5 linked regions of the Oryzias latipes genome follow. The protein of the gene in region 3 purifies or fractionates together with the protein of the main gene of each other region. This does not show direct contact. Links are inferred from orthologs where the notes say so. Each region holds a gene or a part of one and is shown on either strand. Other genes may lie near its edges.

Region 1 (4,509 bases), on a different chromosome or scaffold from region 3:
CCCCTTTAATGCCTCCTCAGGTACCTGTTGCAAATCCACCCCAGCCCCTTCAAATGCCAATGGCTCAAATGCCCATGGATCCTCAGGCACCACATGCTCCACCTGGGGGTGCAAAGCCCCTGCAGGCAGGCGGCGTAAAATTTGACGACAACAACCCTTTTAGTGAAGGTTTCCAGGAGCGAGAAAGGAGGGAGAGACTTAGGGAGCAACAGGAGAGACAACGGGTGCAGCTCATGCAGGAGGTCGAGCGCCAGAGAGCCCTGAAACATCGCATGGAAATGGAGCAGCAAGGGATGATGGGACCAGATGGAAACATGGCACCACTCGCCCAGATGCCTTTTTTTAATTCTGAGTTGCCACAAGACTTCATGCAGCCTCAAAGACCCTCTATGCCGCAATCGCATCAATTAGGTCCAATGTTTCCTCAACAGCAGGGCATGCAGCATGGCATCAGCTCGCCCCCTGGAACATTCATTCAGGGTGATAGGAGAGGCATGATGGGGAATGGGATGATGGCAGCTGATGTGGGGCCTGATAATGTTCCCCTTCAGGGACTTGGTTTTCCTCATGGTCATCCGCGGCCTCGTCAGTTCAGCGGACCAGGACTGATGCCAGCAGAGGGTCCGCCTTTTGATGGTGACACAGCCACACCCCTTCCATCCAACTTTCCAGGTTCGGGTCAGTCGCTCATTCAGCTGTACTCCAACATTATCCCAGACGAGAAAGGCAAAAAGAAACGGAATCGCAAGAAAAAGAAGGAGGATGACGCAGATTCAGTCAAGACGCCATCAACGCCACACTCGGACCTCACAGCCCCCCTCACACCCTGTGTCTCTGACACTTCCTCAACTCCAACAAGAAACACTCATCTTTTTGGAGAGCAGGACTTGTCGAGGTCCCCCTTACTGGGGTCGTCCACTCCCAGTCACACAGAGCTTGAGAAGCAGCTTTCTGCAGCCCAGTCTGGACCTCATGGTTTGCCCTCTGAGACGTCCAGGACCCAGGTCCAGGACCATGACAGAATACTGAGTAACATCAAACTTGAGAAGACGGAAACAACTGAGTGTCACGGGCAAAGGGAAGGATCCATCTGCTCAGACATGAGCTCCGTAAAGGAAGAGGGGAATAAAGGGGGCGTGTCCCCATTTCCTGCTGAGCAAAGTCCAAACAAGGGCGAGTCCAGCAATGAGCTACTCAAACATCTTTTAAAGAACAAGAGCACACCTCCACCTGCTCTGTCTCACCAGAGGTCAGAGGAAAGCCTTCGCTCTGAGGAGGGGGAAACCCCCGACTGCAAAAGCTTTCTGAGACAGAGCTCCATGGACAGCAGTGGGGTCAGTGTTTTTTTTTTGTTCCAGCATAGACGACTTGGAGAACTTCAATTAACGAACATAGTTCCCCAAAAAATGTAGCTCAAATGCTAAATTCATTAAATTGATGCAACTCATAGCTGTTTTAATAAGCATTTTTGTTGGAAAACTCAGCCGCTTCACAAGTCATTTTAAGTTTATCATCTTTAAAGTCCAGTTGGCCTGAAGAGCAGAATCCTGTTAGATGACTGAGAATCTTCAAAGACGGTTTATCTGTAAAACGTATTTGTTTCGTCCTCAGCAGGCATACTCCGATGGCACTTCTGACTTTCCTGGGCCTCAGCTGCCTGAACAAGAGAAGAAGAAGGGGCGGAACAAGAGACCTCCGAAAGGAGGAGAAAAACCCGCCTCGCGCTACAAGAAAAGGAAGAAAGATAGAGACGAGAGGCAGCTGATGCACTCTGGCTCGGACACAGTCATAACGCAGATCAAGCAAGTAAGACATGTTCAATGAAGTTCTTTTTCTTAATAAATCTTTAAAAAAAAATCTGATTTAGAATTACTTCACTACTTTTTGACACTTCATGAATGCTTCTCACACAATCTCTCATTAAGGTTTTTTTATTTAGGTTTGTTTTTTGAGGAATGCAATTATAAAATTATATTTATTACATGTAAGTTGTTGCTGATTATTAAATATTAATCCAAGAGCATAAAGAAAACTTCAGTTTTTATGTAAAAGTTTCCCAAATAAGTTTAGTAAAAATAGTCAAAATGGAATATAACTGTTACCCTAACCCATTTTTACTTTGACTTGTATACAAATGAATAATAAGGAAAATTAATTTTTCTATGACTGGTCGAGTAGGTGCGTCTGTCATGTTTTTTTAAAGTCTTTTATTTCTGTCTCAACTGTTTCTCTAAACACAGCAGCTCTCCTTGCTGCCGCTCATGGAGCCTCTGATTGGAGTAAACTTTGCTCACTTTGCTCCTTATGGAAGCGGGCAGCTCAATGGAGAAAACCTCCTGACTGGTACTTTCGGCAGTGCCTCGCTCGACGGAGTTTCTGATTATTACTCCCAGCTCGCCTACAAGGTGAGATGTGTTTACACCACAGGGAAGTCTGTAATCACAACAGCATCACCTTGTCTCTGACTCTGGCTTCGGTTCCTAATTTACAGCAAAGTAACTTGAGCAATCCTCCAACACCTCCGGCATCTCTTCCTCCCACTCCACCACCTGTGAGTCGGCAGAAAATGATCAATGGATTTGCTACAACTGAGGAGCTGGCCAGCAAAGCTGCTGCGATGGGTGCGCTTATTTTGAAGCCTTTAATGCTTATGAAGAAATGAATAGAATTCATGTGTCATTTATTGAAATGTTATTTTAAACGCAGTCTCCAAAGGGCTGGTGCCAAAGCCCCTGCATGTCCCCTTCAGGCCAGAGGAAGATCTTCTTGCTCGAGCCATTGCTCAGGGTCCCAAAACTGTGGATGTTCCAGCTTCCCTTCCCACCCCTCCTCACAACAACCAGGAGGAGCTCAGGTAACCCAGTGGAAACTTTTCGAAACCACATTAACGTGTTAGAAGTTGCTTCATTTGACCTTATGTTTGAAAACAGTAACAGGGGGCAGGAGGCTTGCAAGGACAGAGACACACCTGACAGCTTTGTACCATCCTCATCTCCTGAGAGCGTGGTTGGCATGGAGATCAGCCGCTACCCAGACCTGCGCCTGGTGAAGGAAGAGCCTCTTTCCCCCTGCCTGTCCCCTGCGTTCCCCCTGCTTCCTGCCCCTGATGGGAAAGGTGAACACTCTTTACCTAATTTTGTTTTAGAAACCTGTGTCAAAGATTCTCTGGTGTCCCATTGTTTATTGTAGCCTAACAGGATTGGGATCCTTTTAAACTTCAATTTCTTTTCTTATTCTTTAGGGTCAGAGATCAAACTCCAGGATATCAAGACTGAGCCGTCTTTCATGTTCTTCGGTTCTCCGCTTGGCCCCGTGTCCAGTGATTCTAAGCAAGGATTGGTGTCTGTGGCCATCACTTTGAGGCCGGCTGCAGCTGAGGTTTGGATTCAACATTCACTGAGACTGAAGCTCAAATGTAAAATACAGTGTTCCCTCGCTACATCGCACTTCACTTTTCGCTATCTCTCTGTTTTGCAGACCTTTTTCAGTGCAATTTTGCACTTTTTTTTTTTCTTTAACAGCGCACTGTTCTACATCCTGATTGGCTGTTGACTTTGTCAATCAATCTCCTCGTGCCGTGTCTCCTGTGCAGGGTCCACTCGGCTTTCCACTTTTTTCCATTTATGTAAATAAATCATCATCATTAGCATGGAGATCTTGTTTTTATACTATAACACTAGACCTATTTTTCTATGAAGGTTGGAATTTTGAGAGATTAAGATTTTTCACACTTTTCTCTGTTGTTTAATGTCTGTCTGAGAAAAGTATATAAAGTATGTAGTGACGAATTTTACAGCCTTAAAAATATCTGTTATCCTTCTTTGCGGATTTCACCTATTGCAGGTTATTTATGGAACCTAACCCCTGCAGTAATGAGGGAAAACTATAACCGCAGTCTCAAAAAAAGACATACCGAAAGTTTTTTTTGGACAGATTTAACCCAAAATTGCCAGTTAGTCCTCCTGCTCTAATTGAAAATTGTTGGCACGGTCGTTGGCAAAAAATCTGTTTGTGTTGGAGAAGAAGATGGTGTAGGTACCGTAACCATTCGGTCTGCAATAACCGTTCGGGGTCCTTCGACTAGTGCTGACGTCACCTTATGTGATTGGCTGTCCGTTGGTCCGATGACGTGTCAGATAGTGATTGGTCTGGACAAATTACGATACTACCATAGAAGAAGATATTATGCGGTCCGAACCCTTCTCCGGACCGCTCACCGTAACAAAGCACCTTCCCTGCCTGTGAACAGGAAGCTACGAGACTCCAGCTGCTCATGGATCGCTTGTGTGGAGCAGCAGGTTCATCATTCTAACAGCCACATATCTTTTTACAAAGTGGGTTGTGGCAAAATCTCTCTATAAATATTACAAAGAATAATGTCAGACACAACTTATTAGGGAAAAGAACTTTGGGTTACAAAAGGAAACGTGCAATGAAAATATGTAGAGCCCGAGCAGATCTCCACGCTACGCAGTTTGTCCAAGTGGGGTTACCATAGTGTGACGTTAT
Region 2 (4,509 bases), on a different chromosome or scaffold from region 3:
AGCGAAGGGGAGTCTTCCGATATGCGCTCTCCTTCTGATGGAAGCTACAGCCCCCGGCGATCGCGACCATCCAGTGGTGGTTCCTCCGGAGAGGAGTCCAGCCCTCGCCGTCGCCCGGGACCTAAACGACTGAACTCTGTGTCACCACCATCTCCTCGCAAACCGGAGCGTCGCAGCGAGCGGATGTTCGACGATTCTGACGATGACTCGCCAACCGAGAAGGAGGGCACCAACTTGAACTGGACTCCGGCGGAAGTTGTCACTCCCACAGCTCCAGTTTCAACTGGCACAGCCAGGCGGCGAACCGGCCCACCTGGTATCAGGGATCTGGCTTCGTCTGCGGGGAGTGGCCTCATCAACCTGTGTTCCACTGTGCCTTCTGTAGCAGGGAGCGAAGGAGCAACAACTGCAAAGACCGGCTCTGCCGCCGCTGCCATCAATCAGTCCACGCAGCAAGGTCAGTAAAGCCCCGCCTCTGATGACTGTTTCCATCCTGTATTTGTGTTTTCAGCATATATATGAATTTTTCCCAAGTTTACCTATTTAGAAGATGACATGTTTTTGTTTCAGATAAATATTTTGATTGACAGTAATGCTTTTTGGGGTATATTGGTGTTGGAAGCCCAATTGACCTTTGATCTCTTGCAGTCTGTATGTTCAAAGATGTCATAGGCGACACTCGAATAATACACGCTCTTTGATGTACATCTGTCCCCTACGAGATCCCCACTGACTGTCTTTCCAGAAAAACTTTCCATCCCATAACAGACTCTGGTCGGCGTTCACAGCTTCAGACACGCCCCCTCCGCGCGTTCACGCTGCCCTCTTCCTCCTGCCCGCTCGCACTACCTGATGGTGTTGAAGGCACCACAGCAATCTTGGAACATGGTGGTTATTTTACCAAACCACGGAGAGCCGCTACACAGGGATGATAGAGCCGCATGCATCTCCGGTGCCGCCGGTTGCCGACCCCTGGTTTATGGGATGAAGGCGAATCAGCCGATTCTGACGCCCAGAAAAGCGGCTTTTCATATCGGCTTTGCACAAATAAATGACGCAAGGCTGCTTTCCTCCATGACAGAATTACTTGATTTATGTTGATCTCGGAAGCACTTCATTACCATAGGGTGTGGCATTTTTCTCCTCTTTGGAATCCGTTGGTATTGTATTAATGGCGTCAACGGATGTAGAGTTACAGACGTAGAAAGAATGTGAACCAGAGCTCCAGTGTAAAAGGGTTCATGTCAGTCATATGGAGAGCAAGCAATCAATGCATCAAAAATGCAAGCTTTACTGAATAAATAGTTCCAGGAAGAAAAATATCTAGATTTTTACGGCATGCTCTTTGAGTCCACATCCTTCATTCACCATGGCAACCGTAAAACCTGTTGTACAACAGCCAATAAGCAGCGCAAACCTGCAATGACCAGGAAATCGTACAATTGATAAATATTTGATGTATTGTGATCCTCCATGAATGATTGATTTCAAAGATGAGATGATAAAAATACATATGTTTGTAAAATCTATTTCAGATATTCATTCATAACTTAATGAAAATGAATAGCAAAGGATGCTATCTTCTTGACATTATAATTGCTCTCTTTTTTTAATAATTATTTTAATCATTTTGATAATAGTTCTAATAATATTTTTATTAATTAGTTTTAATAAAAATTGTTAATAATTTGATATGAATGTCCTTTTTGATGTTATATTATATATATTATTTCTGAATGTCGTTGTTGCTGCTGCAGATAAATGAAATTTCCCCATCGTGGGATTAATAAAGTCATCTATAAACACAATAGCACACAAGACTAGGGTGTGACGAAATATGGGTCTGAATGTTCATATTAATAATTAAAGTACATCATTGTGAATTTTTAATTCCACTGAGGCTATTTGATATACATTTTAGTTCATAATTGGAGCTTTGTTCATTAGTTATCATTAAGTGTATGTTTTTATTACAAAGACACAGCAGTATTTATTGATCATTTTATTTTACTGTTGCAAAGGATGGTTAAATTCATATATTGTGTTTTAAATTGTTTAAAAAAAAGGTTTCATCGAAAATAAAGATATATTTGTTTATATAATAGTGGTATATTAGATGATCAAGGTAACATTGATAATTGCAATATGAAATTGTGATCCATGTATGGTGAATCACGTCGTATCGAGAGTCACCCTGAGATTCCCTTCCCTGCACATGATGCATTGAATCCATTAAATATGATCCCCCAATAGAGTTTAAGTACTTAAATAAGGTTTTGTGAGTCATGTGACCGACAGCAACACAATACTTTTGCATTTATAATGGAGAAGCCAGAATTACACCACAAAAGTGGCCTTTTAATCTGAAAGTTCATAATTGTTGCTAAATTTGCTAAAAGATTTTAAGGATTTGTCACAGCTACAACCCTTTATTTTAAGCCATATTGAATTTGTTTTAATAGTTGTGATTGTGACGCCCCTCTTCTATAGGGATAGATGAAAATGTAATCCTTTGGTGATGGCGTGGCTCTATTCTGAGAACGCTTGCATAGGATTGAATTTCTTTTCCACCTTTCATTTGTTTTCTGTAGGTGTACCGGTTCCTGAAGGCATTCCTGGATGGAGTACGGCCATGATAACCCTCTGCAACATCACCAATGCCTCTGATGTGCAGACTGCCAACCGACCACCCAACGTCGCTCATGTAAAAAGCTTCTTCACACACACTTACTGCTGCCCATCTCCATCTATCTCCTCTGTGGTTAATCCTTCTAATGCAGTTGGGAGGACTCTGAGTTCAGTTTTTGGTATTTGCCAAGGGTGTGTTTGTCAATGAACGTTGTCGTGACGATGGATGAGATTATCCACCTTGAAGAGTGACATGATGCCTGAAGAATGGAGTAAAAGTGTATTTTGAAAAACAAGAGGGACGTTCTGAGTTGTGGAAACAGAGGAATAAGCTGATGAGTCGCATAAAGAAGTTATTAGGAGTAGTGGAAACTAGACTGAAGTCAGACATGAACATTTATGATCAACAATATGGCTTCAGGCAAAAGAAGACAACAGATGCGATGGAAGTCTGGAGTGGCAGGAAAGTATCTATCAGAGGAACAGCTCATGATGGATGCTATGGAGGTGGATGCCAGCAAACAGATTGAGATCTGTGGGCATGTTGAGAGGAGGATCAGTAGTTCTGTTGGTAAAAGGTGATAAGACTGGAGTGATATGTGGGAAAAGAAAGAAGGTTCATGGATGTAATGGAGGACATGACGGGGGTTGATGTCGGGGGAGGGTGGATAGAAATGGATGGAGGCTGTTGATTCACTGTGGCGACCACTAAAGGGAGCAGCAGGAAAGTCAAGAAGAATCATTCTGACCACTTTGGTTTAGTAAACAAATGAGTAATTCACGATCAGGATTTAGATTTGGTGTTCTATGGTGATGGGTTTCAGTGACCTGCACTTCATAACCATCATTCAATGACTGCAGCTGAAAAAAACAGTTTTTGAATCCCAGCCTGGCAAAACGTTTGCTCCACAGGGTTTGATCAGGCCTTAAGTTCATGGTTGTCAGTAAAAAGGCCTTTAAAGCTAAGGCTACATGGGGGTGTCGTGGTTAGCTCTCTTGCCTCACAGCAGAACGCCCTGCTTGAAATTCCAGCTGGACTTGGCATACTCTCCTCGTCCACGTGTGGGATTTCTGCGGGGACTCCAGCTCCGTCCCTCTGTCCAAACACATGATCCATAGATAAATTGGTGATTCAAAATTGTCCCCAAGTGTGAATGTGTGGACCTGAAATAGACTGACGACCTGCTCAGCATAAACCCCCCTTCACTCAACAGCAGCTGGGATAGGCTCCAGCAACCCACTGACCCTGAAAGGAATGCATTGGGATCTGAAAATGAATGAATGGATGGATGGGCTTTTAAAACTAGGGATGGGTATTGTTAAGATTCGATCAATACTACTCCTCTTATCAATGTGGCATCAATCCGGTATTCTTATTGATACTTTTCTACGTGAAAAACAGGAGGGAGAAGACAAATAACAAACCATGTACATGAAAACCATTTAACATTGCATGTCGGATACTTTATTGTTACAGATTATACTGTTATAATTTTACACCTTATAGATCATATTATAAGGTATTATTATTATGGTCTGCGTCTGCATCAAAATTGACAGTAAATGCTGTCGTTGTTTGTAAACTTGGCTGAATCTGAACCTGAAGTACTTTTATTTAACACTAAACTTGAGTATTACTAACTTTATAAATGGCATTAACTTCTGACAAAAGTCACACAAAAAAGCATCAGAAAGCAAGTATCATCCTCCTCAGTAGCTCCTGCTCCACTTTGTTCAAAAGCTATTTGTTGTCATGCGTTCCTGACAGCTGATTTTCCATGAGTGGTGGTTAGTCTAAAGATGCTTAAGTTCTGTTTTTCTCAAAGTATTTCTTTGTCTCCCTGCAGATCATCCAAAATCTCGCAGGGAATCAAACGAAAG
Region 3 (4,655 bases):
GTGCCTCTGTTTCTACACGGCTGGACTACTGTAACAGTCTGTTTCCTGTTTGAACAAGGTGGAGCTGTCGCGCCTGCAGTTGATCCAAAACTCTGCTGCGAGGATCTTGACCCCATCTCCACTATCCTCAAAACTCTTCATTGGCTCCCGATTGCTTACGGCTTTCAATAGAAAATCTTAGTTTTGACTTTTAGGGACCTCCATTGTCAAGCTCTCTCATATGTTTTTTATTTGATCGCCCCCTATAGACCATCTGCGTGTACTGAGGTCTGTGGATCAGGACTTGGTGGTGGTCTCTCGCGCACGGTTCTGGACCACAGGAGACAAATCCTTCCAGGCTGTTGCTCCTAAACTCTGGAATGAGTTCCCATTGTGTCCCTGGACTCTGATTTATTTTAAAAAGTCAACAAAAAACTTTTTCTTTTTTTACCTTTGAGGCACCCTGTGACTTCCGTTTGCGAAAGGTGCTGCATAAATAAAGAGAACTTTCTTATCCATTTTAAGAATGAATGAATGTGAGGCGTAACCTTACCAGCTCCAGTGGGCCCATAAGCAAACACGCTGGCATTCTGTCCGTTCAATACGTGGGACAAGACGGGCTTTACAGATGAGAGGAAAACCTCCTGCTGTGTCGTCTTTTCACCATGAAAAGCGTCGAAACTGGGAAGAAAAGCACGAACTTTTAATGGAAAACGCACATTCACAAAAAAAAGAATACATGTAGAGACTGACTCACTGGTATTTGACGGTTTCTGTTGCATTCCTCCAGTTGACTATTTCCAGGTTTTGCTTATCCAGGCCCCGCACGCACGGCCCTTCGCCCTTCTCGTCCTCTTTGTCTAAGTAGGGCCGAAGACGAACCGCGACTCGAACTCTTGAAATCTTCTTGTTTCCATCTGATGAAACGGTCACGCGCTGCGCCGCCATGTTGTGTTCTTCGAAAAACAAAGGCCCGAAATCAAACGAGAATCACTGCTTTAAAAGTTACCCAAGAGTCAACTTAAAGGCACTTTGACCATAAATAGAAACAAACCCGCCAAGATTAAGTTGTATTTTATTGCCTATCCAGGTTAAAACACCACATTGTTATTGTTACCAACGCCCATCATGACTAGCCAACTAGGGCACGGTAGCATTATGTTGTTATTTTCGCACACAGCTAAGGTTAACACGATTAGAACTTTTCTTTTTATAAATAAAAACTTACAAAACGATACTTACGTTTTCAAGAATCCTTTTGTGTCGTTAAAAACACACTTTTACCATGGCGCAAGTACCTCCATTTAATAATGGCGCTGGCAGCCCCGAAAACTTTCTAACCGAAAACTTTTAAATCCAAGACAGCTTCGACCGGAAACGACATTAACCAATCAGAGCTCGCGACATATTGCTTTATTAGACAGTGTCTTATTAACACATTAAATATATAATTGTAAACGTAAAATTAGAATAATATATAATACGTTACGAATTTTAACGTTCAAAGCAAAAATAAAAAAAAATATTACAAAGTCATAATTTCCCTGATGTGACTGCGCATGATAGGAAGTAGCGTCATAGCTAGATCTCTATACTGTCGACCTTCACAGTTCCCGGTTTAGCGCGCCGTGAGTGGATCATCCACATACATTTTAATCAGTTGGATTGTACAGTCTTTGCTGTAAGGCTAAAGCAAGCAGACCGTCAAGCGGTTCCTTCAGCCAAAATGGCGCTATGTTTACGTTTCTGCAGAGTCGATTGTTATACCTTCGTGACTGCATTATTCGTGGGATTTTCGTAATAAGCCTATAACCCCCAGCAACACGGATCCACAAAATATTGGTAACGATGATCTGACTTTCATTGAAAAAATGTTGTTTCTAAAGATTTGTGTGCTACATTTGACGTTAGCTTGTTAGCAAGAACTTAAGACCCAGCAAGAATTATGCCACTTTCCTTAAATTGAGCAAGTGATTATTAGAGCACGTGTGTTAACGGATCCCTAAGGATAAATCTTTTTTGTGATTTGTTTTTATTTATTTATTTTTGAATTCAACGAGAACTAAAAGGTGACTAGTTTTTGTGCTGCTCAGATTTGTGGAAGTTGAGCAGTTGAGGGAAGGATGCAGGCGGAAGCTTCAGACACCTCCCTCAGAGAGGGCATCCAGGCTTTGGACGTGGAGGATTCAGAGAAACCCGCTGCAGACACAACAGAGGACATCATCACGGACCAACAGGACACTGACAGAACAGCCGTCGCAGAAGAAGAGGACGCAGCAGCCCAGGAGGAAGCTGGTACCTGCGTTTTGGGACACGATGCAGCAGATGTTTCGGCATGTTTTGATCTGAAAGTGAACGTTTGTTCTGCTTTGTCAGAGGAGAACGCAGATGCGGCCGAAGATGCAGCTCAGACCGATCCAGCTAAAGCAGACACAGGGGTGGATGCTGAGGAGGGGAAGCAGGCTGCAGAAGAGGAGTGGGAGATTCCGTACAGCGACGAGGAGATGGAGGACGCCAAAAACTGGATGCCGCCTCCTTTGGAAATTAAAAGACTCTACGAGCTGCTGGCTAAAGGGCAGATGCTGGAACTGAACTTTGAGCCCCTCCCCAGAAGACCACCCACACCTGAACGTTCCCTTTCACCTGAGAGAGACGAAGAGGACGAGGCGGTGAAGGAAAGGGAGAGGCAAGACAGAGAGCGGAAGTCAGTAGCCCTTTTTCTTCAACTCAAACTGTCTGTATTACTTTGCTTTGAGTAGAAAATACTGTTTTGATTTTTTTTCAGGCCTCCATCTCCAACCGAGTTCGACTTCGATGAAGAGAATATGCAGACAACGCCGAAAAATGCCTTCATCAATCGACGGCGAACACCAGGTGGGAAATGCTCATCAGACTGATGTTAATGTTTCAAGATTGCAGATTTCTTAATAGTTTGATGTCGCTTTCCAGGATCCTCCGGCCGCTCGACGGTGAAAAGAGAAGCTCGTCTGGACAAAGTGCTGTCCGACATGAAGCGCCATCGCAAAATCGAGGAGCACATTAGACGAACGGGGAGGGATTTCTTTAAGAACGAGAAAAAGCTGGAGGAGGCCCTCTCCCCAAACAGTCAGAAAGAGCGGGATAAGGAGAGGGAGCGAGACAGCAACCCCAACACCATCTTCTCACCACGACAGAGGAGATACTGAAGACACAAAAGGAGAGCTTTAAAAAGGCTTTGCAGAACTCTTTTTAATGTAATGAATTGTGTTTTTGTATTTTTGCAATAATTTTTTAATCCTAGGAAATGTCAAAATGGACTCATTTCTGGGCTTTGGTGATGTTTAGCTTTGTTATAAAATACGCTCTTTTCATGCAGGTTTGCCCTGAGTCTCCATTTGTAAAAGTACTTCCTGTCAAATCTTGTTAATTCTGGATGCAGAATCGTTCAAATAAATGTTTTTTATTGACTATTAAAGTCTATGAGACCCCATAAAGTTGTAATACAGAAGAAAGGGTGTTCAAGTGCAATTTCAGCAAGCCCTTTTTGGTGTTTCTTTTTAGAGGGGTGGGGGATTGTTAAAAACAATGTTTTTTTTAATCTAAAGATTTATTTTCTTTAGAATGTTCTTGTTAAATAAAGATTTGAATGAATAAAAATGTATAGTTGTTTTTACCTAAAGAAACATTCATTTGACAAAATGAGCTGACAAATTTACATAAATATAAAACATTTTATTAGCCTGTTTAGGCCATAAAAATACGAAAATTTGGAAATTCTTACTTTTTGATGCTGTCTTACACATTGTTTAATTTTTTTGGAGATTAAACAGAAATTTTGATCTTTTAATAATTTGCTTTAAAACTTTTTTTCAATTTATCCTCAGCGGAACTCCAATAATGTCAATATTTTCCTCAATATTTATATATTTTTATTGCTTTAATAGGTGAAAAAGCACAGGTCATCAATTCTCTCCATGGCAAAACTCTGGCGCCCTCCGGTGGCCGACCTGCGTTGGAGCTTAACCCAAATCCTTTTATATTAAAACTTTTAAGCATCAAATATTTGCAATTGTAATCTAAAAAAAAAATCAAGGACTCAAGACAGGTTCAGGACAGAGAAGTATATTTTAGCTAAGTTTGAGTAACGATACAGCCTCCACATAAGGCTCAGAAGCAAAGAGTATAATATGTATGCATAAATATGCATTCAAAACCACAAACCAAATAAATAAATAAATACTTACAAATAAATAACAAGCATTTTTTGTGGAATATACAGTACATCAGTTCCAATGTTTCAATATTGTCAAGAAGCAGTATTTCATGAGGTTATGGAATCGGGGAAGGAGTGTTTTCTCTGAAATGCTCAGATGCGTTGGTGAACAGTACCCTGTCAAGTTTTCAGCAGCGGATTAGACGGCTCTTTTATATCTTTCAGGATCAATTTTCAGGACAATTAGGCTGTGGCAAATGCACATGAAATGACAGAAATGGGCTATTCTGTTCACAGAGCCAGTGACCTTAACGGCACAAGAACCAAGGCGGCGCTTCATCCACTTCTGAAGTTCCTAATACGAAGGTTTTATGGGTAAAAACACTCAAATAAAATGTTTTAGCAGCAAGGGAACTCATCCCTGCATGATTATTTCCACAATTAACTTTCCTCCAGCTGTGTGAAATATTAGAATCAATACTTT
Region 4 (5,075 bases), on a different chromosome or scaffold from region 3:
CAAAATTTGACACTAAAAAAACTCGAAAGCTTATCTAAATAGCTGTCACTGATAGTGGTTAATCTGTTTTATTCTCTAGAGGGATTTGGGTCCAATGACTTAAAAGCTTTAGAAGAATTTTTATATCGTATGAATATATAGCTAACTTTACCTCTGTGACAATTCACAGATATTCCTCCAGAATTGTAAACTTACAGCTTAATATATTCATTTATGTAGTAAACTTATAAGTACATAATTGTTTAGTTATCTCAGCCCTTGATATTTTATGCTTTTTTAATTCATCCTTAATATAATAATGAATGTTGTAATCTATTACTGTTTTGTTTGTTTTTTAATGTTTCCACTATGCAGAAGATCAAAAAACGCAAAATGTAATAAAAATTAAAACAACCACAAATAAAAAGTGAATTTTGGAGTAATTAACCAACTTAAAAATGTAAACATGGGAAGCTACAGCTCCATGAAAGCAAACCAAAACCACTGCAGCAGATTCCCTCCTTCACATTCCTCAGAAAGGGTCTTTAAGAACTGCAGAACGTGCCAGGCGGAAGTGGGCGGACGTGACAAAAACCGCGTGTTTTATCACTTTAACCCACAAGAACCCCTGTTGTTGTTGGACACGCGCGAGGAATGCCTTCTACTGGATACTGAAATGCTTCACGTGTGCACGAACTCTCAAAGTTTTACTCAGTTAAATAAGGGCTTTGTATCCTAGCAGATGGAGGCGTAGTCCCCAAAACGTTACTTCCAACAACTATTGTAAAAAATTATTTGTCAAACCACACAGACTTCCTGAAGAGACAATGCAAATGAATACCAATATTTTCTTCGAGGTCAAGAAACGTCCAACGTGTTAGCTATCATAATTAGCTAGTCTGTGCACAAATGAAATGTTTTTCTTGCCTGGTGGTGAACGAAAATCCTTTATTTCTTTAACTCTGCAACACCTAAAAATGCTGCTATAAAATGTTATTGAAAAAAAAGTCTGACTTTTTTATTTTAACTAGTCATAATATATATCAGGTATTTAAGCAATTTAAAAAAATCACCTAAGTTTTCTTTTTAATCCGTTTCGAGAAAAAACTCCGATCATCATCTAACGGGAAGGGAGGGTAGCGGCAAGTTGTTTACCAACTCGTATTGTTAAATTGGAATAAAAGTTCAAGCAATGCTCCTCTTCAAAAACAGTAAAACTTTACACCGAAGCTTGAACAGAAAAGTATGCGCTTCAAGTACCTCCACGGCGAAGTCAGTCACCATCTGCTAACTTCCTCTCCCGACCTGCTGCACCTACATGGCTGGCAATTCAATTCGTGTCTATTTGTCTGGGCACGTCAGCCCAGAAGTCAAAGGGGAATACTGCCATCTAGTGTTCTGGAGTGTCCACTGTTTTCATTTGGCAAAAAACGCAAATATTTTGCACTGACATATTTTTCTTTTGATAATACTATTATCAAAAGAGAATTATATATTTTGCTTCACTTAACTTTTTTTCTGGTAAATTGAAATATTAATTGCAAAATGTTTACGTCTTAAGGGAAAACTGCATTTTGTGACGTTTATTCTAACTCGTGCCATCGATACTTGATCCTCACAGGTTTCCGTTACTTCTGTGTGTGACGCGCCTGCGCATTGCACTGGCACACTACATTCCCTCGTTTCTTCGTTGGTTTTCTCGCAGCCAAACGTATACAAGGAGGCAGGTAGATTAGTTTTTTGTAAGTTTAGGATCATATTACGAAAAAACAGACTGGTTTTAATCGTGTTTTCTTCGGTGGAGGAAAAAAATCTGGAGGTGAATCTGTAAAACGTTTCTGTAAGTATGAGCGTTTGCGTAAATCTTCATTGTCTGAGGAGTAGAGGGCCGCTTTTGTGGCAGGTTGTCAATAGCTAAAAACAAGTGACCGCATGTACATAGTGCTGATAGTTTTCCTGAACATCTAGCACTTTATATTTTTTAACGTCTATTTCATATCCATTTGAACATGCAACGCGTCTTTTTTTCAAGTACAAATATATAAAGTCTGTCTGAAGTTGCGCCAAAGGAAGGTATTCCGCGTCGCTTTTGTTATATGATGCTGTTTTCACCTATTATTTCTTTATGGTAAACATTTTGACGTTAAAAATGTGGAAGCTGACTTTAATGTACATCAAATGCCACTTCGCGATGTTTTTGTTTTGCCAGTTAAGAAAAAAGAGTTTTTATACGTCAGCGTACCGAAGCTAACTGAGCTAGCTAAAATTTTTAGCCATCGAGCTAATTTGTAAACGCTTAATTTAGCCAATACGGCTATACAATCTACATTGCAATTGTATGCATCAACTTTACCTTTTAATAAACAAAATATTTCTACAACACGTTAAACTATAAACGAGAGTATAATAAATTTGACGAAGGGGCTGTGCAAGCATGTAATTTGAAATACTTGTGTGCTCTTCTGTCTCCTTGCAGTGCTCAGTAGATGCTATTTTTTTCATGATGGCAACCGAAGACAAGAAACCAGAGACTGACACAAAACCTCCAGTTGTGCAGTCAGCATCTGCAAGCCAAAGCAAGGTCTGGATATAAGAAAATGACTGAGTACTCTGGGCCGTGTTCTTGTGCAACTGCAGCTTTGCATCAATTGTTTCTTTTGTTTTCCAATTAATACAAGATTAAATGGTGAACAATGCATTTTGGTTTTTGTTTTAGCAGAGTTGATATGTACTTCTTTTCTATCTTACCAATGGCATTAAATGTGCCCCCCCACAGTCTGCGCCTGCAAAGCCAAACTACAGCCTGAAGTTCACGTTAGCAGGACACACCAAAGCCGTGTCTTCTGTCAAATTCAGTCCAAGTGGAGAATGGCTCGCCAGCTCATGTGAGTTCATCCTCCTCTGTGTGGCTTTTAAGCAATGAATGTCTCAAAATGTACTCAACATGAAACCATTATATTGGTTGATGTTGACCCTGTTCAAAGGGAGTTTACTCAATGAAAAAAAAAAACTATGTAGAGTTTACAAAATGTTAACATTTAGGAATCTAAACAAGAGGCCGTCAGCTCTCATCTACCTGCCCAGCTGTTGGACAGGACAAGTAAAAAAAAAAAGAGAGAGAAAAAAAACAAACATTTAGGAATCTTGAGTTTATTTCAAATGATTTTTCGGATTAATTGTTAGAACAAAACATGTGAAGTAGTTATGTACATATATATTTTTTTACTAAAGCCACTTTAGTAGTGTTATTCCTTTCTGCCCCTTTGGCTTTTTGCCCTGACGTTGGACTTTAAAAGGCCCATTTCACCATGGTGTCATATTTTGTTCCATTCTCCGATCCGCCTCCAGAGTTAGTCTCAGAGATGAAATAGGTGGGTGAAAGGGTAAGACAATGCCAGGGCTGTAACCAGCATCCAAATACTTGGAAATCTTTCTATCTTTTCAAGAACAATGTTTGGGCATATTTGTTGTCTTTATAAATATAGTAGAATATAGTACAAATAAACTTCACGCATTGTAATTATCACTCTAAATCAGCAGAATAATGTTGGAATTCGAGGATATAAACTGACAGATATCAGCTAAAGATGGTAAAGTGTGACAGTTTCATGCTGAAACTGATGATGATTTATTTTCTGAACCAACAGTGTTTAGTTTTGTTGGGAAAACCAAAAAATAGAAACTTATAAAGTGCTGTTCACTGATGCTCCAATATCCCATAATCCATCCAACTAACATACGTCACTGTGCCTCTGTGCTGTGGAGGTGGGGAACACGTTGAACTAAGAAGTTAACATTCACTGAGGCCCCCAGCCCCAAAATGAACTTGTCAAGGAGAAATAATCAGAGAAAACTAGAACCAAATTAGAATTAAACGTAGAATGTTCTAATCTAGTAAATATAGTTTTCTGTTTATCAGATGTATTAAACTTGTCATTTGGATCAATTTGTATGCTGTGTTACATTTGTGTGTAGTGTTGGCTTCATAATTGATGTGATGACAGTAATTCATAGATTTGACTGATGTTCTCTTGTTCCAGCTGCTGATAAACTCATCAAGATCTGGGGAGCGTATGATGGCAAGTTTGAGAAAACCATATCTGGACACAAACTTGTGAGTAAAACTGTACTCTGATATTGCTCTGATATGTTCTCTGGATTTCCTGTGGGAGGAATAGATTTTAGAAGCGCCCTTCTCCTTCTTATGTGTCTGAACTATTTCCCATGATCCTGCAGGGCATCTCTGATGTGGCCTGGTCCTCTGATTCCAACCTGCTGGTGTCTGCATCAGACGACAAAACCCTGAAAATCTGGGATGTCAACTCGGTAAGAAGGTTCTGCACTTGTTCTAGGAGCCAAAACGTATTTTTTTGGCACTTATTCTTGTTTACCCTTTAATTTAGTATATTTCCCCTTTTTAATTTCCTAAGTAATGACATCTGGGTAAAAGGTTGTACAAGCATTCACTCACCTTCACTCAGGATGGCAGAGAAGAGGCATCTTGGACTGTTCATTTTTGTTAACAGCTATTTTTGCTGCTTTCATGCCACTTTATTGCTGCCATTTTTTTGGAGTCACCCTTTTCTTAATCAGATTCATCCACTCGTATAAAGTAAACACAGTTGGAGACGGCTGCTTTAGCCTATGAATGTCTTGAGTGTTAGATGACATTGTTTATATGATGCTTTGCGGCTGTTGACAGTTTGCTGAACAAAGAAGCGGCCATTTCCTCTCCAGTCTGTATTTTTAAGCAATGTGAGCTTTTTTCCCCCCACACAACTTTTTATTAAGGATTTTGTTCTGACAACACAGCAATCACAACAGTAGCAGTCGTATGTCTCTTACAGAAAAAAGGCTCCACTACATACATAATATATATAAAAACATGGACATGCTCACTGAGTCGATCAGCTACGCCAACCCCAGGAGGTTGGCAGAGACGGGAGCAGCATTGGGGGCAGCCTGCTGGGGTCTTCTTTAAACGGGCTCACAGAGACGTGGAGACACAGTGGAAGCCGGCTGTCATTCAGAAGCAGCTTCTGCAGCAGGAGTGGAGTGGAGCTGGAGAATCTCTGATCGATGAGACGTGGCTCAGA
Region 5 (3,364 bases), on a different chromosome or scaffold from region 3:
CAACAAAAACTCAAGATCTCAGGATATCCGACAGCAGAGTCCTGGCCCTCGACCACCTCAGTTTATCACCACAACCCCAGTATTTATTAATCCAATATTCCAGGTTCCTGGCTCCTCTGTGGCTCCTAATAACTCAGTAGTATCTCAGTCAGTCACCATGGTAGGGTCTATCCAAATGCCTACTGGAAGCATCCAACTTTCTCCTGCCCTAAATTCCACACAGCCATCAGGGGTTAATATAGCTCCCTCTCAGCCCAATAGAACGCTTGCTGGACAGGTTCAGGTAGCTACTAATGCAGTATCCACAACTCCAGTTGGTGCTATCCTAGCTTCTCACCAAACCAACCCAGGAGCAACAAAAGCAGAAAGTCAAAATGAGACCACTTTGTCTCAGAAATCTAATCCTGCACTCTGGAAACCTCCACCCCACTCAAGCGCTACAACATCATCCCCATTTCAGACACCTTTGTCCACACCTCCCTGTTCCAGTTCTGGAACTGTTGGCAGTTTCCGTAAGAGCCCCATATCACCATCTCCTCCTACCCAAGCAAAAGGTAAATCTGGACCAGCTCCTGTTTCCAGCACTGGTGAGTCTCTTCAGGGTTTTATGGGGGCTGGGCCACCACAGGTGTTTCTTCCACCTGCTAGTCTAGCTACCCCGACTGAAGCACGATCACCCAATACTACTGCCAGTACCACAAACAATCCTTTGCCTGTAGAATCTTCACCGGTCCCAGTTTCTACCCAGGTTTCTGTTCCTAATCAGACTCTTGGCCCTACTTCTCTGCTTCCTACGACATCGCTCCCAAACTCAACTGTAAATTCTCAAGCTCCTATGCCAACTGTAGTTGGTACTAGTCCAGGAGTCTCATCTGCTGCCTTGCTATCAACGGTTACTCTTGTGCAAAGTACTGTACCATCTGTTGTTCCAATTGTTGCTGCACCTGGATCTGCTGAGGCGACTCATACATCACCAGTTGCTGATCCCAGCAGAGTCCTGTCGGTGCAGTCAGACCCTTCAACAGCTGAGCCGTCCACGCCACAAGCTGCAGTATCTGCTGAAGCAACTCGGATCAGCCCTGGTAAGAACTTTTAAGCATGTTCCAAGTCAGAGCAAATGTTATTTAAATATTAAAAAGGTACAACTAAATTACTTCATAAAACCAATTAATTACATTTCTATACATACTTTTTTGCTTCACAAACATTTGAGATTTTGCAATTTTCTTAGCTGTGCTATTATCTTTTCCATTCACCTTCAGCCCTACAACAAGACATTCTACAAGAACCTGTTTCCTCTGAGAAGATGGGTAATTATCTTTCTTTTATTGCTAATGAAATAAAAAACATTGACCAAATAACCATCTACAGATCAACAAAAAACCTTGACCTATCTGGCATACAAATGTTTTTGTCTTTGTGTTTTATTTTTAGGTGACGAAGCAACAACAGGCTCTGAGCAACCGTAAGATCTCTAACAGAATCTTTTCTGTTTTGTTTTCTTGCTCTGAGATTTTGATAGGTGACTATTTAATCCCTTACACACCAAACGTTTGTCATGACGTCAAATCGTGTCATGTCATATTACTTCTTATAACTGTTAATTTATGGGGGGAAAATGGCCTATCCTATACTTTTGAAGTGTATTGCGTTGACCTGATGACAAATTTCAACAGGGTTTGATTACTTGTAGCCACACAACACAACTTTTGGGCACCTTTTAAAAATCAGCAAGAATGAATAATAGAAAAAAAGAATCTTTTTAATCATTTTTCCTTCTTGTCAGCTCTGCAGGTTCACTTATCTTCTATGTTTATTTGTTGTGCTGAACAGCAAATCAAAGGAGTACCATGAAATTTAACAGGGAAGAGTCAATACTGTGCTCTAAAAAAAAAATAATACAAGTGATGTTTAAACTTGGTTTGGTGTATAGGGGCAATTATTTTTGACTTTTGACAGGATGATTTGTAAAAGCTTTGCACTGCAAATGCTTGAGGTAGTATCATATTTTATTTATTACTAAGGGCAGATGGACATCATGCAGATAGAAATAATGTTTTCTTCTAACCGTTTCTGTTAGCAGTTTTGTTTTTGTGATTTGTGTTTTGAAGCCTGAAACTTTTTGGCAGACTGAAGTTATTTTATTTACCAGTGACCCAGGATCAAACTGTTTCTGATCTGCGGGGGTTGTACCTTTCAAATGGGGGGATGATGTGGACCTGTGGTTAGAACTGATGTGGTACAGGCTTATTTTAACTCATTTCTTCCTCATCAGGTAATTTTGGTGGCAAAAGTCCATTTCAGTTGACCTTAGTTCACTAGAAGCTAAATTTCTAAAGACCCATTCCAATAATCTTTTGATCAATTGTAAAAGCATCCTTTAATTATAAAATTGTCATTTTCTTGGACAGCAGTAGTTCATTAGAAATTTGCTTCTGAGATGTTGGCAGGACCGTTGGCGCAGAGCATTCCCCTCACTATTTTCTGTTTCACAAATTAGCTCTTTTTTAATGCAGATTTTTATGTCTGCCACTGCTTTACAGTGATTGAAATAAAGACACACAGAAGTACAATTTTAATCTTATTATTCTTTATATATGTCCTCATCAGAAAATTGCCACAAGAATTTTAAAAACACCAAAAAGCAAGTTTTTTCATCTGAAAGGGTCTTTTAAATTAATTTTAAAGCCTCGCAGTGAATGATTTTTGATTTTTATTACTGTTACAAATTAATGTTAGCACAACTTCAACAGTGTAAACACAGAAACCAGATAACCAAGTGCTTTATTTATGTAACTGTTTGATAGCACCTTGTATGGCTTCAATTTAGTGGAGTCAGTTGTCTGGTTAGGGAAACGCTTTGAGTTATGTTTATACTTGACTCTCAGTGTTATGTTGATGTCTAACAAGAAGGTAAGGTAGCTGTTACTTCAGAATCTAAGTAACAAAATACATTCAGCACCATAATAATGTTTAACCTTCCATTCACAAAAGATTCGGTTGGAGTAATATTTAAGCAAAGCTGTATTAACCATACATATCATATTTTCTGTTAATGTTGCTTCTTATTGTTTTGCACCTCTATAGAAGGAATTAGGTTTGTTTTGACATCCCCAATATGTCCTTTTCAAAAATTATTTGTGTGGATTTTATGTCAAAAAGAAGAAATACTGCTTTCTTTTTAGGAATATGATTTCTCTGTTTTTTAAACTGTTGCTTGTTTTTAATAGTGGATGCCATAAAATGAGACATTTTGTTTACAGTCATTTTACTTTTCTGTACTCACTTTTTATGTTCTTCCTCGTTTGCTGCATGGAACAATAAATCAAAGTACACTGTAAACCCTCTGAGGAAGAAGAGTCAA

Evidence for each region.
Region 1: the proteins of pagr1 (region 3) and histone-lysine N-methyltransferase 2C purify together in Homo sapiens (affinity purification with mass spectrometry; 3 studies listed by BioGRID and IntAct, with this or other methods). This does not show direct contact. The link is inferred for Oryzias latipes from reciprocal best matches to the Homo sapiens genes PAGR1 and KMT2C.
Region 2: the proteins of pagr1 (region 3) and paxip1 purify together in Homo sapiens (affinity purification with mass spectrometry; 6 studies listed by BioGRID and IntAct, with this or other methods). This does not show direct contact. The link is inferred for Oryzias latipes from reciprocal best matches to the Homo sapiens genes PAGR1 and PAXIP1.
Region 4: the proteins of pagr1 (region 3) and wdr5 purify together in Homo sapiens (affinity purification with mass spectrometry; 5 studies listed by BioGRID and IntAct, with this or other methods). This does not show direct contact. The link is inferred for Oryzias latipes from reciprocal best matches to the Homo sapiens genes PAGR1 and WDR5.
Region 5: the proteins of pagr1 (region 3) and ncoa6 purify together in Homo sapiens (affinity purification with mass spectrometry; 3 studies listed by BioGRID and IntAct, with this or other methods). This does not show direct contact. The link is inferred for Oryzias latipes from reciprocal best matches to the Homo sapiens genes PAGR1 and NCOA6.

What each region holds. Positions count from the first base shown.
Region 1 is NC_019875.2:25,398,000-25,402,508, forward strand, and holds part of histone-lysine N-methyltransferase 2C, read left to right. Parts: coding exon 1-1,334; intron 1,335-1,611; coding exon 1,612-1,806; intron 1,807-2,240; coding exon 2,241-2,405; intron 2,406-2,491; coding exon 2,492-2,621; intron 2,622-2,706; coding exon 2,707-2,854; intron 2,855-2,930; coding exon 2,931-3,115; intron 3,116-3,241; coding exon 3,242-3,378; intron 3,379-4,509. UniProt on the Homo sapiens protein: Histone methyltransferase that catalyzes methyl group transfer from S-adenosyl-L-methionine to the epsilon-amino group of 'Lys-4' of histone H3 (H3K4).
Region 2 is NC_019875.2:13,221,897-13,226,405, reverse strand, and holds part of paxip1 (PAX-interacting protein 1), read left to right. Parts: coding exon 1-457; intron 458-2,591; coding exon 2,592-2,704; intron 2,705-4,475; coding exon 4,476-4,509.
Region 3 is NC_019877.2:7,654,163-7,658,817, forward strand, and holds pagr1 (PAXIP1-associated glutamate-rich protein 1), read left to right. Parts: upstream 1-1,565; 5' UTR 1,566-1,821; intron 1,822-2,072; 5' UTR 2,073-2,102; coding exon 2,103-2,274; intron 2,275-2,355; coding exon 2,356-2,683; intron 2,684-2,764; coding exon 2,765-2,853; intron 2,854-2,928; coding exon 2,929-3,164; 3' UTR 3,165-3,491; downstream 3,492-4,655. Other genes in the region: kinesin-like protein KIF22, read right to left, coding at 533-660, 737-927. UniProt on the Homo sapiens protein: Its association with the histone methyltransferase MLL2/MLL3 complex is suggesting a role in epigenetic transcriptional activation. However, in association with PAXIP1/PTIP is proposed to function at least in part independently of the MLL2/MLL3 complex.
Region 4 is NC_019870.2:23,024,372-23,029,446, reverse strand, and holds the start of wdr5 (WD repeat-containing protein 5), read left to right. Parts: upstream 1-1,628; 5' UTR 1,629-1,819; intron 1,820-2,455; 5' UTR 2,456-2,479; coding exon 2,480-2,560; intron 2,561-2,755; coding exon 2,756-2,864; intron 2,865-4,019; coding exon 4,020-4,093; intron 4,094-4,215; coding exon 4,216-4,305; intron 4,306-5,075. Other genes in the region: bromodomain-containing protein 3, read right to left, coding at 1,240-1,263.
Region 5 is NC_019865.2:14,784,683-14,788,046, forward strand, and holds part of ncoa6 (nuclear receptor coactivator 6), read left to right. Parts: coding exon 1-1,082; intron 1,083-1,262; coding exon 1,263-1,310; intron 1,311-1,434; coding exon 1,435-1,465; intron 1,466-3,364. UniProt on the Homo sapiens protein: Nuclear receptor coactivator that directly binds nuclear receptors and stimulates the transcriptional activities in a hormone-dependent fashion. Coactivates expression in an agonist- and AF2-dependent manner.